Mytilus edulis: one gene and its partner. Each later gene encodes a partner of the first gene's protein in a complex. Links are inferred from orthologs where the notes say so. Each region holds a gene or a part of one and is shown in the gene's direction. Other genes may lie near its edges.

Region 1 (7,656 bases):
TTTATAGAGATACTCAGCAGACTGATGAGTATAATATTTAGAAATGAACAAAGGTCGCTCTTTTTACACTACTGGTTTAACATTGTTCAATATAACATTCCAACAAGAATGTGTCCATAGTACACGGATGCCCCACTCCCACTATCATTTTCTATGTTCAGTGGACCGTGAAATTGGGGTCAAAACTTTAATTTGGAATTAAAATTAGAAAGATCATATCATAGGGAACATGTGTACTAAGTTTCAAGTTGATGTAACTTTAACTTCATCAAAAGCTACCTTGACCAAAAACTTTAACCTGAACTTTGTACTATCATTTTCTATGTTCAGTGGACCATGAAATTGGGGTCAAAACTATAATTTGGCATTAAAATTAGAAAGATTCAAGTTGATTGGACTTCAGCTTCATCAAAAACTACCTCGACCAAAAACTTTAACCGGACAGACGAACGGAGACACAGACGGACGGACGGACGAACGGAGGCACAGACCAGAAAACATAATGCCCCTCTACTATCGTAGGTGGGGCATAAAAATAAATAGAAAGACGACATCGTTGTCGCCTACTTTTGAATAGTCGCATTGAGAGGTTGTACGGTAATGTGTTAATAGTGCAACACCCACCCCTCAACAATTACATCTGCCAATGACAAAATAGCACATGTATACGATAAAAATTGTTTCTGAAAAATCCCCGTAGTTAGTTGATAAAGTCTAACGTTTGATTTGATCAGTTTTTAAAGACCTCCCCTTATAATATACTCAAGTACATTGGAGCTCGGTATAAACCTCCCCTTGTAATATACTCAAGTACATTGGAGCTCGGTATTTTATAGACCTCCACTTGTAATATACTCAAGTACATTGGAGCTCGGTATTTAATAGACCTCCCCTTGTAATATACTCAAGTACATTGGAGCTCAGTATTTTATAGACCTCCCCTTGTAATATACTCAAGTACATTGGAGCTCAGTATTTTATAGACCTCCCCTTGTAATAAACTCAAGTACATTGGAGCTCGGTATTTTATAGACCTCCCCTTGTAATATACTCAAGTGCATTGGAGCTCGGTATTTTATAGACCTCCCCTTGTAATATACTCAAGTACATTGGAGCTCGGTATTTTATAGACCTTCCCTTGTAATATACTGAAGTACATTGAAGCTCGGTATTTTATAGACCTCCCCTTGTAATATACTCAAGTACATTGGAGCTCGGTATTTTATAGACCTCCCCTTGTAATATACTCAAGTACATTGGAGCTCAGTATTTTATAGACCTCCCCTTGTAATATACTCAAGTACATTGGAGCTCGGTATTTTATAGACCTCCCCTTGTAATATACTCAAGTACATTGGAGCTAGGTATTTTATAGACTTCCACTTGTAATATACTCAAGTACATTGGAGCTCGGTATTTTATAGACATCCACTTGTAATATACTCAAGTACATTGGAGCTCGGTGTTTTATAGACATCCACTTGTAATATACTCAAGTACATTGGAGCTCGGTATTTTATAGACCTCCCCTTGTAATATACTCAAGTACATTGGAGCTCGGTATTTTATAGACCTCCCCTTGTAATATACTCAAGTACATTGGAGCTCGGTATTTTATAGACCTCCCCTTGTAATATACTCAAGTACATTGAAGCTCAGTATTTTATAGACCTCTCCTTGTAATATACTCAAGTACATTGGAGCTCAGTATTTTATAGACCTCCCCTTGTAATATACTCAAGTACATTGGAGCTCAGTATTTTATAGACCTCCCCTTGTAATATACTCAAGTACATTGGAGCTCGGTATTTTATAGACCTTCCCTTGTAATATACTGAAGTACATTGAAGCTCGGTATTTTATAGACCTCCCCTTGTAATATACTCAAGTACATTGGAGCTCGGTATTTTATAGACCTCCCCTTGTAATATACTCAAGTACATTGGAGCTCAGTATTTTATAGACCTCCCCTTGTAATATACTCAAGTACATTGGAGCTCGGTATTTTATAGACCTCCCCTTGTAATATACTCAAGTACATTGGAGCTAGGTATTTTATAGACTTCCACTTGTAATATACTCAAGTACATTGGAGCTCGGTATTTTATAGACATCCACTTGTAATATACTCAAGTACATTGGAGCTCGGTGTTTTATAGACATCCACTTGTAATATACTCAAGTACATTGGAGCTCGGTATTTTATAGACCTCCCCTTGTAATATACTCAAGTACATTGGAGCTCGGTATTTTATAGACCTCCCCTTGTAATATACTCAAGTACATTGGAGCTCGGTATTTTATAGACCTCCCCTTGTAATATACTCAAGTACATTGAAGCTCAGTATTTTATAGACCTCTCCTTGTAATATACTCAAGTACATTGGAGCTCAGTATTTTATAGACCTCCCCTTGTAATATACTCAAGTACATTGGAGCTCAGTATTTTATAGACCTCCCCTTGTAATATACTCAAGTACATTGGAGCTCGGTATTTTATAGACCTCCCCTTGTAATATACTCAAGTACATTGGAGCTCGGTATTTTATAGACCTCCCCTTGTAATATACTCAAGTACATTGGAGCTCGGTATTTTATAGACTTCCCCTTGTAATATACTCAAGTACATTGGAGCTCGGTATTTTATAGACCTCCCCTTGTAATATACTCAAGTACATTGGAGCTCGGTATTTTATAGACCTCCACTTGTAATATACTCAAGTACATTGGAGCTCGGTATTTTATAGACCTCCACTTGTAATATACTCAAGTACATTGGAGCTCGGTATTTTTGTGATACTATTTTATAGTCTGAATATAAAGATATGAACAATACCTGTACTAAAATAAATATTCGAAGGACGTCGATCTACAAGGCATCATAATTTTCAACTATACAACAACAGACATCATATTTAACTCTACATCACCTGAGTCTTAAAAATGAAATAAAGATTGAAGAGTAGATAGCAAATATAACATCAAACTAAATTCTCTAATGACAAAACATTCAAATATAACAAACAGGAAAGAATATCACGAGTACAAGAACAAATACTATTATATACCGCTAAAAAATATGCTTGCAATTGCGAGAATCAAATACAAATAAATCAATATGTTGTCAGCTATAACTGATGTATCATGTATGATTTCCTGTTCCATTAGAGCTTGTTGTTGGATTCTGTAGATTTTTTTGTTGTTCTTGTCTATAGCTACCAGGTCATTTGTTAAATTGTACAGCACACAAAAATTCCTGTTGCCTTGTGCTTCGCTTGTAAGTTTTTCCATCCTAGTTCTTGTATCATGTTGATGTCACTTGGTCTTTTTCCATGTCTTCTTCTTACACACCGCGCAGTTAGCTCGTCTTTGTACTTTTTCGATTGTTACTTTGGGCTTTTACTGATATGGGTAGCATATTGTCGAAGCATATTCCATTGTTGGTCTTACGTATATCTTATAACCCTGTCTTTTTAGGAATCTTCAGACTATGTAGAGATTTCAGTGTTATCAACCAAGGTTTCTCTTGGCTTGCCTTTTCATATCGTTTATGTGTTTCTCTAATCTAGGTCGTTCGCGGATCATGCGGATGGCGCAGCCCATGCCATGTATTTAATTGATGATTCATGCTCCACTTACAGTATTTATATATTTTTTGCCTCACCCTCAATAAATATCATGTAATTTAAGTTCCAGGAATTTTATAACATACTTTTTTGTTCCATGCATATATATGTGGAACATATATTATGCAGAACAAATATACAATCTCACAGAATACTACCCCACCCCCCTTTTTCTCTGTGTCTTTTCAGTCTACTCTTACGCTGCTGCTTTACTGAGTGTCATATTTAAGTGTTTCAATTATAAGAAGAGGAAAATAACATGTCAATGTAAAGACGTATAAAATAATGACATATGTACGTGCTTGATCTTGATGTTTTTATTTATAGATGAAAATTTAAAACATGAACTGACCGCAATGCACATACTGTTTGATTATGATATGAAAAGTTGTCACATTATGCCAATCATGAATAGTATCTGCTATCATATTGACTCACGACAATCCGCTGACAAATTGGTTATATATTTTTGAAAACTGCAGTAATATATATTAAAATGCAACTGCTTACAATAGTGCTATATATTATAAATGTTTTATTGCTCGCACTATACCTAAATACATATTATATTTTTTGAATTATACAATCTTTCCACCGTCGTGATTCACAGGAATTTTGTCTCTGGAAAAAAACACTTTATACCCAGTGGCTGATCCAGAACTTCTTAGAAGGGGTCCACTGACTTACCGTATAATCACTCATTTTTTTTCTACAAAAGGGGGGGGGGGGGGGATCCGGCCGCGATCCCCCTTAGATCCGCCTATGATATCTTAATATATCATTAAAGGTATACTGTATAGGAAAACATTTTTCAATGAGAGACAGATTTCTGGGAATAATAATGTGGGAGTTTTCGACCACTGTGATTAATCGTTTTTATTATGCATATTTCTTTTGACCTGAGTTATATAAATAACACGGAATGTGGGTTATAATACAAACAATACGACAATTCACCTAACAATATTGAGATAGCAAAGACAATTATTCTCGTTCCGTATTTTCTGTACCAAACCATCTTCGATCCATTTTTTACTATTTCCAAAAAATGGCTGACACCGGGCAGGAACCCGAGTTGTTGTTTTTTGATACGTTTTCTCACGAAAGCGCTGAGGTATATGGTTTATAAAGAGTGTATTTATTCCAGTATCAAACACAAATAACTTTCATTCGTGTATAAATCCATTAAATGCAACATAAAATAGCCGCATTTGACGTGTATTATTATTTTTAAGGTTCATCATAACCTTTTGGCTAATATGGCCGTATTTACACCCCAAATTTTACTCTGGGTACAGACTAACCTATGCACTTGCAACAGTTTTAAGGGATGGCAGGAACTAGGTATATAAATTTTAAATGCATTTTATGTTTTAGAAAATTATAAACTTTTCTAGATTTTGCCTTCCAGTTTTTTTCGTTCCTGCAGAAGGTGCAAAAATTAACTAAGTAGTGAAAACGATTGAGAAGCTCCCCTCATATAATCAATGTTGTGAGTAGTATTGATTTAAATGGACAATGGATGGACAATAGACACCTGTAAACAATAGGTGATTTAAACTGTGTAACTGAGTGGACCGTATCAAATGAAACTCGGGTGTTTGTTTATTTTGCTATCTTCTGCAGACTGAAAAAAACTGGACATGAAAATCCAGGTAAGTTTTTAATTTTCTGAAACGTAGACTTCGTATAACTTTTATATATCTAGTTCCTGCCATGCCTTAAAACTTTCCTGGATGTACCAGTTTGTCTGCACTCATAGTAATTTTTTAGGTGTAAACACGGCCATATTTTTCAATTCCTTATGATGAACCTTAAAATGAAACTGGATCTAAAAAATATTACATTTATTATCTTTTTAGTTGCATCGATGGATTTGTGTCAAAGCATCATTTTAAATTATTTTTAAATATGTACACATTTATTCATGAGCTGTTCATTAGAAACCGCTTTGTCATAGTTTGATCAACATCATGGTTCATCACATATAATATGAATTAATTGATTTAATAATTATCCGATTGGGCACAGACACTTGTTTCTATCCATGGGAAGGGTGATTATCTATATAAATAGAAGAAGGTGGCCTACAATTTTTTTATAGGTCACAACCATTTCCACTTTGGATGCTTTTTGTACCCTTTAACAAATGCAAAAAATCCCTACCTTGCATGAATCAATGCATTGAATATTTTACTTTAACACTAAACAAATTTTATATTCCCCACAGTGTTCCTCTTCACACTGGAGAATTTGTATTCACTTTCTTTTATTCTCTTTATAGGAGTTAAATTTAGACTTGGTACAGTTTCCAAGGCCAGTTATTATTCAGGAAATCAGGGTAATACCCCTGCAAACCAAAGTTGAAGCAGATGTACCAGGAGGTGTTAGGCTAGGGTAAGCTACATGTACATCAAGTAAAAGATAAAGGATCAGAATAATGATCTTGATGATTAGAGACATATGCATGTACACAAACTATTAGTAAAAGGAATAAAATGTACTTCCATGTCTTGAATACAACAATGCAACATACAGTGTGTTCACTGTGTTGACCATTGTCCAGAAGACCTCTGGACCAGCAACGTCTCAGAAGTAACATTGTATCCAAGATCAATGTCACCTTATATTTTGCCTAGAAAAAGACAACTACATGTATTCTTAGATGACAATAATCTAAATTTAATTTAAGTTATATGTACATGTATATATTGTATTTCAATTTTCTCTTCTGCATATAATACTTTTTTGAAGCCCTGAAAGTGTTGAGAAAACAGCATAACCAGCAACATCTCGGAAGTAACATTGTATCCAAGGTTGACGTCATCTTATCTTTTCTTCTTAACTAGTATACACCAAAATGCAAAGCTGTTGTTTTAATATTTATTAGAGTTTAGTTAGATAATAAGAAATCATCCCCACAACCATGTACCTGTAGCAGCACTTATTCATCCCATGCAGTATTCGAAAAGAAAAACAATATTAGTTTAAAGGGAAGAACTTTTTTTACAAAGCCAAATTTTACAAATATTAAAAATACTCTAGATCTGCAGTTCAGTAAACATGGTAAAGTGGTATTAAAAGTTTGAAAACAGAACATAACAATTAAAACATTCATAACCTGTTAAATCTATACATATATTTGTATTCCTTGGGATTGGTTATTGAAACAAGAAATTTCAAATATTTGAAGGGTTTATACTACTATCATGACTAGGCAAAAAAAAATGAAAATGATAACATGGCAATGAAAATACATGTACCTACATTGTAACTATCAGCAGAAAGTTTTCCTTACTATTTCAATTGTGACAGTTGGTCCTCAGAGTGATCATAGTACAAAATTTAGTTCATTTACAGTAATCACTAGCCTGTCCACTTTTAACATGGTGATTCAAATTCCATTCAAAACTACCCTGTTCATATTAAACAAATGATTGACATATATAGTTGTATGGTTCTCTCCAGGTTCACAAGCTTCCTCTACCAATAAGAATCAGTCACCATCATGATATTGCCAATGCTGCTAAAAATGGCGTTAAACACATACAAAAAAAAATTGTGACATGAAATTATTAAGTTATGTACATCTATATATACATATGTATGTACATGTAGATCTAGGAAGGTTTTATTTTTCATTTTGAAACTCCTTGAAATACTGTTCTTAAAGTGATTCTTCTCTACTTTGGATTGATTATTAATTGTTGAATAAAAAAATCAATGACTTAGTGGTATAGGTGAACCTGGGATTTAAATGTTTGACTAATTGCAAATTTTGTTTAGTCTTGGTAAGAAGAGCTTGTTAAAACCATGAAATATGATATCAATGATGAAACAGTTTTTCCTTAAGCCATGAAAATTGATATCCAAAAAAACAATTGAATCCACAGTATTCTTAAGTTTTGTTTTTTTATTTTATTTCAGGGCTACTAACCCATCTATATTCAAGTTAGAACTATTTGTCAACAACCTCAGTAAACCTAATGCAGCTACCTTTGAGAGTCTTGGAGTGTAAGTTAGCTAATAC
Region 2 (7,304 bases), about 10 Mb from region 1:
GTACACATTTACATGTACACAACTGTGATTGGTTTTAAAAACATTCAACATGTTCGAATATAAAATAAAAGATGAATTTTAGTCTGTTTTATAGTGTTCTTAAAACAACTCAAAGTTTCAAACAGTTACCGACTTTTGATATAGATTTTTTCCATCAGAAATAGGATAAAAAAAAGTATTGATATTCACTTGCATAAGGTCGATTTCTGTGTAATTCACATTCTAATACATTCTACTGCAATAGACATCCTTCTACTTAGTTGCATTCCCTTATATACTTTGGTTTAATTTCTAGTTTGTGCTGCATAATAAATTATAATCATGAAGAAGCTTGATAGATACAAGGGATCCACTCCATCTGATTAATGATGTCATAAAGAAGCTAAAAGCATAACTGACAAACTTTTCCATTGAAGGACATAACTGAAGAGTGGTCTATTAATTCATATCATCAAAACTAGGGATGTCAACAAGTACTCAAGTATTGCTCAACTATTTGGTTTCCTGTTAGAATGTTATTGTTTTCTTAAGTTTAAACAGAAAACATTTTTATTGGGTATAATTTTGTGTTTCCATTTGGTAAGTGTGTAACCGAGCGAGTACTTGAGTATCGCTCAATAAATCCAACTTGTATGTTATACTTGATTAGTAAATTTTTACAGAGTTGACATCCCTTATCAAAACCACATTTTCTTAAGAACTCCAAAGCTGAATATTAACCAATAGATATGATCGAAAAACTATATTTTATATGGTGTTATTATAAGTTATCTACGTTCATATCCGTAGATATGGGTATTTTAACACCCTGAAGTACCCCAGTACACCATGAGGCGTATCGTTCATATCCATAGATATGGGTATTTTAACACCCTGAAGTACCCCAGTACACCATGAGGCGTAGCCGACGCTATAATTATTTTGAAGATGCTATTTTACTTGTCCTCAATTTTGAACTTTCATCTATTATCGATTATGATCATAAAAATTATATCACCTTTAATTGTAATCCCTTTAAGTCGGACACTAAAGGCAATTAAGAGATTAAATAGCTAGGTGTTAATTGCCCTCAGGGTGATAACTGTAAAAGTGTTTGGATGCGAATATCCCAAGCTGACACTTGTGACATGACTAAATACCACGTGTCTGCAATCACCAATATCGACATGGAAATATGCAATCACAAACAATATTAAAAAAAATACACTTATTTTTTTTTACGCAAAATGTGATGCTATCCAAAATTTCTGGGGAGAACACTGTTAATGAAAAGTACAAGTCAGTGTTCTCCCCAGAAATTTTTACGTTAAAAAAAATAACAGTATTTTTTTTAATGTCATTTGTCGCGTCGTGTTGATGCTCTATTTCCTTTATATGTTTTAGTTTATATTGTTCAATTCATAACTGAGAATACAATTAAACTGTAACCACAAAAACAGTTGTTTCAGTTTATGTTTTCTTTATTCATTTATAGTAATCAGAATTATTTTTTTCCTTTTGTGCCAAATAAAAATAAATATGTGGTTTCAGTTACCCAATAATAAGTCAAATGAATGAATGGTTCATTATAGTGCAACCGGTATATATATACAAAACTAAATATTTAGTACACAAAATTAACAATTTTTTATATTATTTTAAGTAAAGATAAAGTAGCCAAAAAAATCCTCAATTTAAAAACTTTTTTTTATCATGTTTATGAAATTCATTGTTTCATGGCACTCAATGAATTAGTCCCAGTTGTTTATCTTTACATCAAAATGATATGTATTTTTAACAAAGTCATCTAACAAATAGTCTGTTAATACGTAGTTTTCTTTCGTGGTATATTTTTTCTGTCTACTGTCCATCTGTTGTCATTATCGTGAAAATGCGGATTTTTGTCATATCTAGTCCGGTTCCTATCCGTAGTTTACACAAAAATGTGCAATGGCGGCCGTAGAAAAATTTACGAAAATGAGTCTGAGAATAAACATTGTTTGACAAGAGATTGTGAATGAATAAGACGCTTTTAATGCATTAAATGGATTAAACATAAACTTCAGCCAATTATGATAACTTTTTAAAGAAATATTAAACTTATTTTAGCTCTAAACCAAAATTCTCGCTCTCGTATTACTGGAAGAGAAAGAAAGTAATTTTTGGAGAGTTGCACAAATAAACGACCTTTTAAAAAAAAATAAAAATCGTTTCAATCTTTGAAATTTCGTAATATAAAACGTAGATTTCGAATTGTGTTGTGATTGCATTATTCCATGTCGAAATTGGTGATTGCAGACACGTGACGTGGTATTAATCATGTCACAAGTGACAGCTTGGGATATTCGCATCCAAACAGTTATCACCCTGAGGGCAATTAACACCTAGCTATTTAATCTCTTAATTGCCTTTCGTGTCCGACTTAAAGGGATTACAATTAAAGGTGATATAATTTTTATGATCATAATCAATAATAGATGAAAGTTCAAAATTGAGGACAAGTAAAATAGCATCTTCAAAATAATTATAGCGTGGCGGGAATAATTATAGCGTTGCGGTAATAATTATAGCGTCGCTGGAATTATCATAGCATCACGGTGAAAAAATATAGCGTCGCGGTACCGCGACGCTAAAACGGCCTGGGGAGAACGAATCCGGGTCCGTTTGCGCCCATTCACGTTCGCACCCACACATGTTCGCCCCCTTTCATTTTCGCACCCTACATGTTCGCACCCAAAGTCCGTTCGCACCCTACATGTTCGCGCCCAATTTTAATTGGTTTTGTGTTTAATAACTTTGTAATCAAGTTTTGGCAAGTACGTAGTATTCTTATAAGTATAATTGTTTTCATGGTCTCAAAATAAAGTGAGACAGCATTTTTTTTGTGTTGAATAAATCTTAATCATGTTTTGGTTAGTGTATTGTTAAAAAAAATTATATTCCTTTCTAAATAAAGTGGGATTCTGTCAACGTTTTATTTTGTGTTGAAATTCAGTCATCTGTATATAATTTAATTAATTGTTTCCCTATGTTTTAAGGTGTAAATAGTTGCTCAAACTATACCCTTTGGGTAGTGCTCCACATTTAATGGAGGAATATACAAGAAACTGAACTGAACTGAACTGTTGAATAATTGTTTATCATGTTTTGGTTAGTGTATTGCTATAACTTTTTTTCATTGACTTGTTTCAAAATGAAGTGAGATTCTGACTACGTTTCTTTTTTTTTGTGTGTGTTGGATTAAATTTTATCATGTATAGTGATATATAATAGTGTATTGTTTCATTATTTCAGATCAAAGGGACCAAGCTGTTCAAAACAATTATCTTTTGTGTTTTTCATTTAAAATCTTCAATCTTTTACTCATACCAAGCTATAAATACATTCAGTATTTACACGAAAGCAATTAAAAACAACAATCATGATTTTCAAATTATTCAACTGGAATTTGAATTAAAATTGGGCGCGAACGTGTAGAGTGCGAACGGACCTTGGGTGCGAACGTGCGAGGTGCGAACGTGTAGGGTGCAAAAGTATATTGGGCGCGAACGGACCTGATACCGGGGAGAACACTGCAAGTATAATAGGAAACAAATTTAAAAAAAAGCTTAACATTTTATTGAAAAGGCAGAGAATTTTGAACTCGTATTATTCCAGGTCAAAATATCCAAAAGCGAGAGATTTTAATCCTGTTCGGGACTGGACTGGCAAGTGGGAGATTTCCGTAATTTTGTTGTTTGCCCTAGAGTCTCCCGCTCGCAATGTGAGGGTTAGCTGGTATGGTTCATGACCTGATTAAGTTGGGTCTGTGGTTTACGCATTCTTCAAAAGAACTAATTAACCAGGAACACTTATCCGGAATCATACAGATCCTGTCTTGCTGTTGGAGTGTTGCACTAGTACTAGTAGTAGTAGTCTACAAAAGAAAGATCATGAATTTCTGATAGATAAATTAAAAGACACATGAACCTATATGGCTAGAGTGCTTACAAATTGATTGGTCTGTCGAGAGTTATGAGAGGATTTGCAGTGCCATATTTTGGGAAGGATGCGGAATTAGATTGTTTAGGCCAACCGTGGGGAACGCCGTGTGCTCTTCCATGTGACGCCATTGTCAATGTTTTCCTACTTTATTCTGGTTCTTTTTATATTAATTTGAGGCAAATCAGCAACAAAATTACAAACAGGGAACCAGTTATTTTAGAAAAGTGCCCTTCTGGGTCTTTTAAGCGCTTTAAAATAGAAAATATTTCGTTTGTTTGAATTGCAGATAATTGACACTGATCAAATTAAAAAAAAAAGAGAATTGATTTCGAGATCGAACTATTTACCTATTTACGAACCTGATTTAAGACACCACCATGTCAGATTCAGATGCATGGAGCGATATCCAAGCTATCAAAAGCAAACAGAGTAGCTTGAGAGCTAAAATGCTCCAGAGACGAAAAGAAAGAGAGGAAATTGCAGCCGAAATCACCAAGTCTAGCATCTCACCAACAACAAGTAGTGAAGGTGAAACACCATTATCTGGTTCTCATTGAAATTGTCCATTTTGCAACTGAGAATTAGCACACAAAATAGCTGACCCATATATTTTTTTTTCCATTGTCGTTAATGTTGATCTTATTGCTATTTTTACACCATTTTACTGGAGGTCTCATGAATCTGGGTCTGTTCGCGAGCAATCACCTTCGCGCCCATTCACGTTGGCGCCCTTTCACTTTCCCACCCTACACTTTCGCACTCAAAGTCTGTTCGCACCCTACACGTTCAAGACCAATTTTTATGGGTATTGTGTTATACAATTTGGAATCGAGTTTGGGTAATAAAGTGCATGAAGTGTATTGCTATTTATAAATATTTTTTTCATTGTTTCTACATATAGTGAGGTTCTGATAACATTTTTTTGACGTGTTGAATAAATCTTTATAATACCGTTAAAGCAAGTGTATTGCTCTACATAAAAATGATTTGTTCATTTTTTCTAAATAAAGTGAAATTCTGACAATGTTTTTTATGTGTTGATAAAATCTTAATCATATTTCGTAAGTGTATTGCTATGAATATTTTTTTTTAAAAGAGATCAAATTTAGGAGCCAAGCTGTTAAAAACAATTATCTCTCGTGATCTTCAAAGTTTTACTCACTCATAACAAGATAAATACATGCAGTATTTACATCAAAGCAAGTTAAATCAACAATCATTATTTTTAGTAAAAGTGAATAGAAATCTATGAAATTTTAACACAAGGTTTATGACCACAAAAGGAAGATTGGGATTGATTTTGAGAGTTTTGGTCCCAATATTTTAGGAATTAGGGGCCAAAAAGGGCCCAAATAAGCATTTTCTTTGTTTTAGCACTATAACTTTAGTTTAAGTAAATAGAAATCTATGAAATTTTGACACAAGGTTTATGACCACAAAAGGAAGGTTGGTATTGATTTTGGGAGTTTTGGTTCCAACAGTTTAGAAATTAGGGGCCAAAAAAGGGCCCAAATAAGCATTGTTCTTGGTTTTCGCACCATAACTTTTCAAATTGGTCTACATTAAAGTCCAAAGGGTCCAAAATTAAACTAAGTTTGATTTTAACAAAAATTGAATTCTTGGGCTTTTTTGATATGCTAAATCTAAACATTATACAATGCATATTCACTTTTACTACCGACTGATAAATTAAAACAATCTTTACCATTCAGTGATAACAAGCACTTTATTTTATATTTTAATATTTTATGATGTACTTAAATGAGTAGTTATTGTTGCAAACTCCATTAGAAGTTTGAATTGAGATCAGTTTTGGAAAAAGGTAAACATGGTAAAGGGGGATGTGAAAAAAAAATGGGAGGGGGGGGGGGGGGTAAATTTTTCTCATTTCAGATTTCATAAATAAAAAGAAAATTTCTTTAAACATTTTTTTGAGAGGATTAATATTCAACAGCATAGTGAATAACTCAAAGGCAAAAAAAATATTTTAAGTTCATTAGACCACATTCATTCTGTGTCAGAAACCTATGCTGTGTCAACTATTTAATCACAATCCAAATTTAGAGCTGAATCCAGCTTGAATGTTGTGTCCATACTTGCCCCAACCATTCAGGGTTCAACCTCTGCGGTCGTATAAAGCTGCAACCTGCGGAGCATCTGGTTTGAATTTGAATTTAAATAAAAATTTTGTACAAGAACTTTTAATTGATTTTGCCTCAAATCATGAACTTTATTTTTCAGATACAAAGAGCCAATCAGAATCAGCAAGCCCTGTTAAAGCAATACCATCTACATCTTCCAGTCCAGTAAAGTCCACACCGGCTGCTGAACCTACAAAGATAGACCCTGTTCTAGAGAAGAAAGTAATGTTGGCTCTCTGTGACATAGATCTAGACATACCCTGTAGTTCTAATGTTATAGCAGAACATTCATCTAAAATACTCAAACAGACCGTTAAACTTGATGTTGTGGAAGAATTACTGAAGAAATTTGCAGGACAACAGCTGATAAAGTAGGTGAAATAAATATGAACATGATGAAAGAAATATACATGTATAAGATATGAGTTATATGCCAATACTAGTACTATAGCAATGCAGCTACACCAAAATATTTTTTTTTTATCTCTGCAGTTAATAAATGTAGATTTCCAAAACCAGGAGAAAATAAAATCCATATGCTTTAATGCTACATTTCAATATGTCATCATGGTCGTAAGGGATTGAAAGGTGTAGACATTTTGTAATCAGAGCAAGACAAGTTGACATGGAGTCAGGACAGTGTGTTCATGCAGTAAGTGCAGGATGGCATGTTCTCCTGTTGACTATAATAACCTTATGTCCTAGCCTGTTAAGAATCTATCGCAACCTGTCAGTGTAGTGCAACGCAGGGTATTATAATGACAATTTTCACCTCTGGATGTTAAGCAGCGATCAATCAATCAAACCATTATCCAAATAAAATATCCAATTTTAAGGTATATGAATACACCTTATCGCTATTTGTCTGCCATTACTGGATATCACACAGGTTCCTGTAAAATGTTGGCATCATAATACAAAATATCTGATGCCACAATGGAAAAGTGAATGTTGTATCATGTCAATAGTTCAAGCGGCACAGATTTTAGGTTCAGGAGGGAATAGGTCAATAGTTCAAGCGGCACAGATTTTAGGTTCAGGAGGGAATAGGGATACATTGTAAGGTGTAAAGAAATTTAAATATTTTAATGATGTAATATTTTTCTTTCAGTATAACAGTAAAAGATGACAGTTTAGAAGATGAACAAGGCAAAATTACTGTCAATAGTATGGATATAACTAAGGTCTGTCTTATTGTAT

What was found. The genes of interacting proteins can lie anywhere in the genome.
Region 2: protein virilizer homolog (region 1) and N(6)-adenosine-methyltransferase catalytic subunit METTL3-like share a complex: the UniProt entries of both Drosophila melanogaster proteins name them as parts of the WMM complex. The link is inferred for Mytilus edulis from reciprocal best matches to the Drosophila melanogaster genes vir and Mettl3.

What each region holds. Positions count from the first base shown.
Region 1 is NC_092348.1:85,678,879-85,686,534, reverse strand, and holds the start of protein virilizer homolog, read left to right. Parts: upstream 1-4,617; 5' UTR 4,618-4,674; coding exon 4,675-4,740; intron 4,741-5,910; coding exon 5,911-6,023; intron 6,024-7,553; coding exon 7,554-7,640; intron 7,641-7,656. UniProt on the Drosophila melanogaster protein: Associated component of the WMM complex, a complex that mediates N6-methyladenosine (m6A) methylation of mRNAs, a modification that plays a role in the efficiency of mRNA splicing and is required for sex determination.
Region 2 is NC_092348.1:95,909,470-95,916,773, reverse strand, and holds the start of N(6)-adenosine-methyltransferase catalytic subunit METTL3-like, read left to right. Parts: upstream 1-4,216; 5' UTR 4,217-4,340; coding exon 4,341-4,491; intron 4,492-6,204; coding exon 6,205-6,475; intron 6,476-7,215; coding exon 7,216-7,288; intron 7,289-7,304. Other genes in the region: cleavage and polyadenylation specificity factor subunit 5-like, read right to left, coding at 3,970-4,091. UniProt on the Drosophila melanogaster protein: Catalytic component of the WMM complex, a complex that mediates N6-methyladenosine (m6A) methylation of mRNAs, a modification that plays a role in the efficiency of mRNA splicing and is required for sex determination.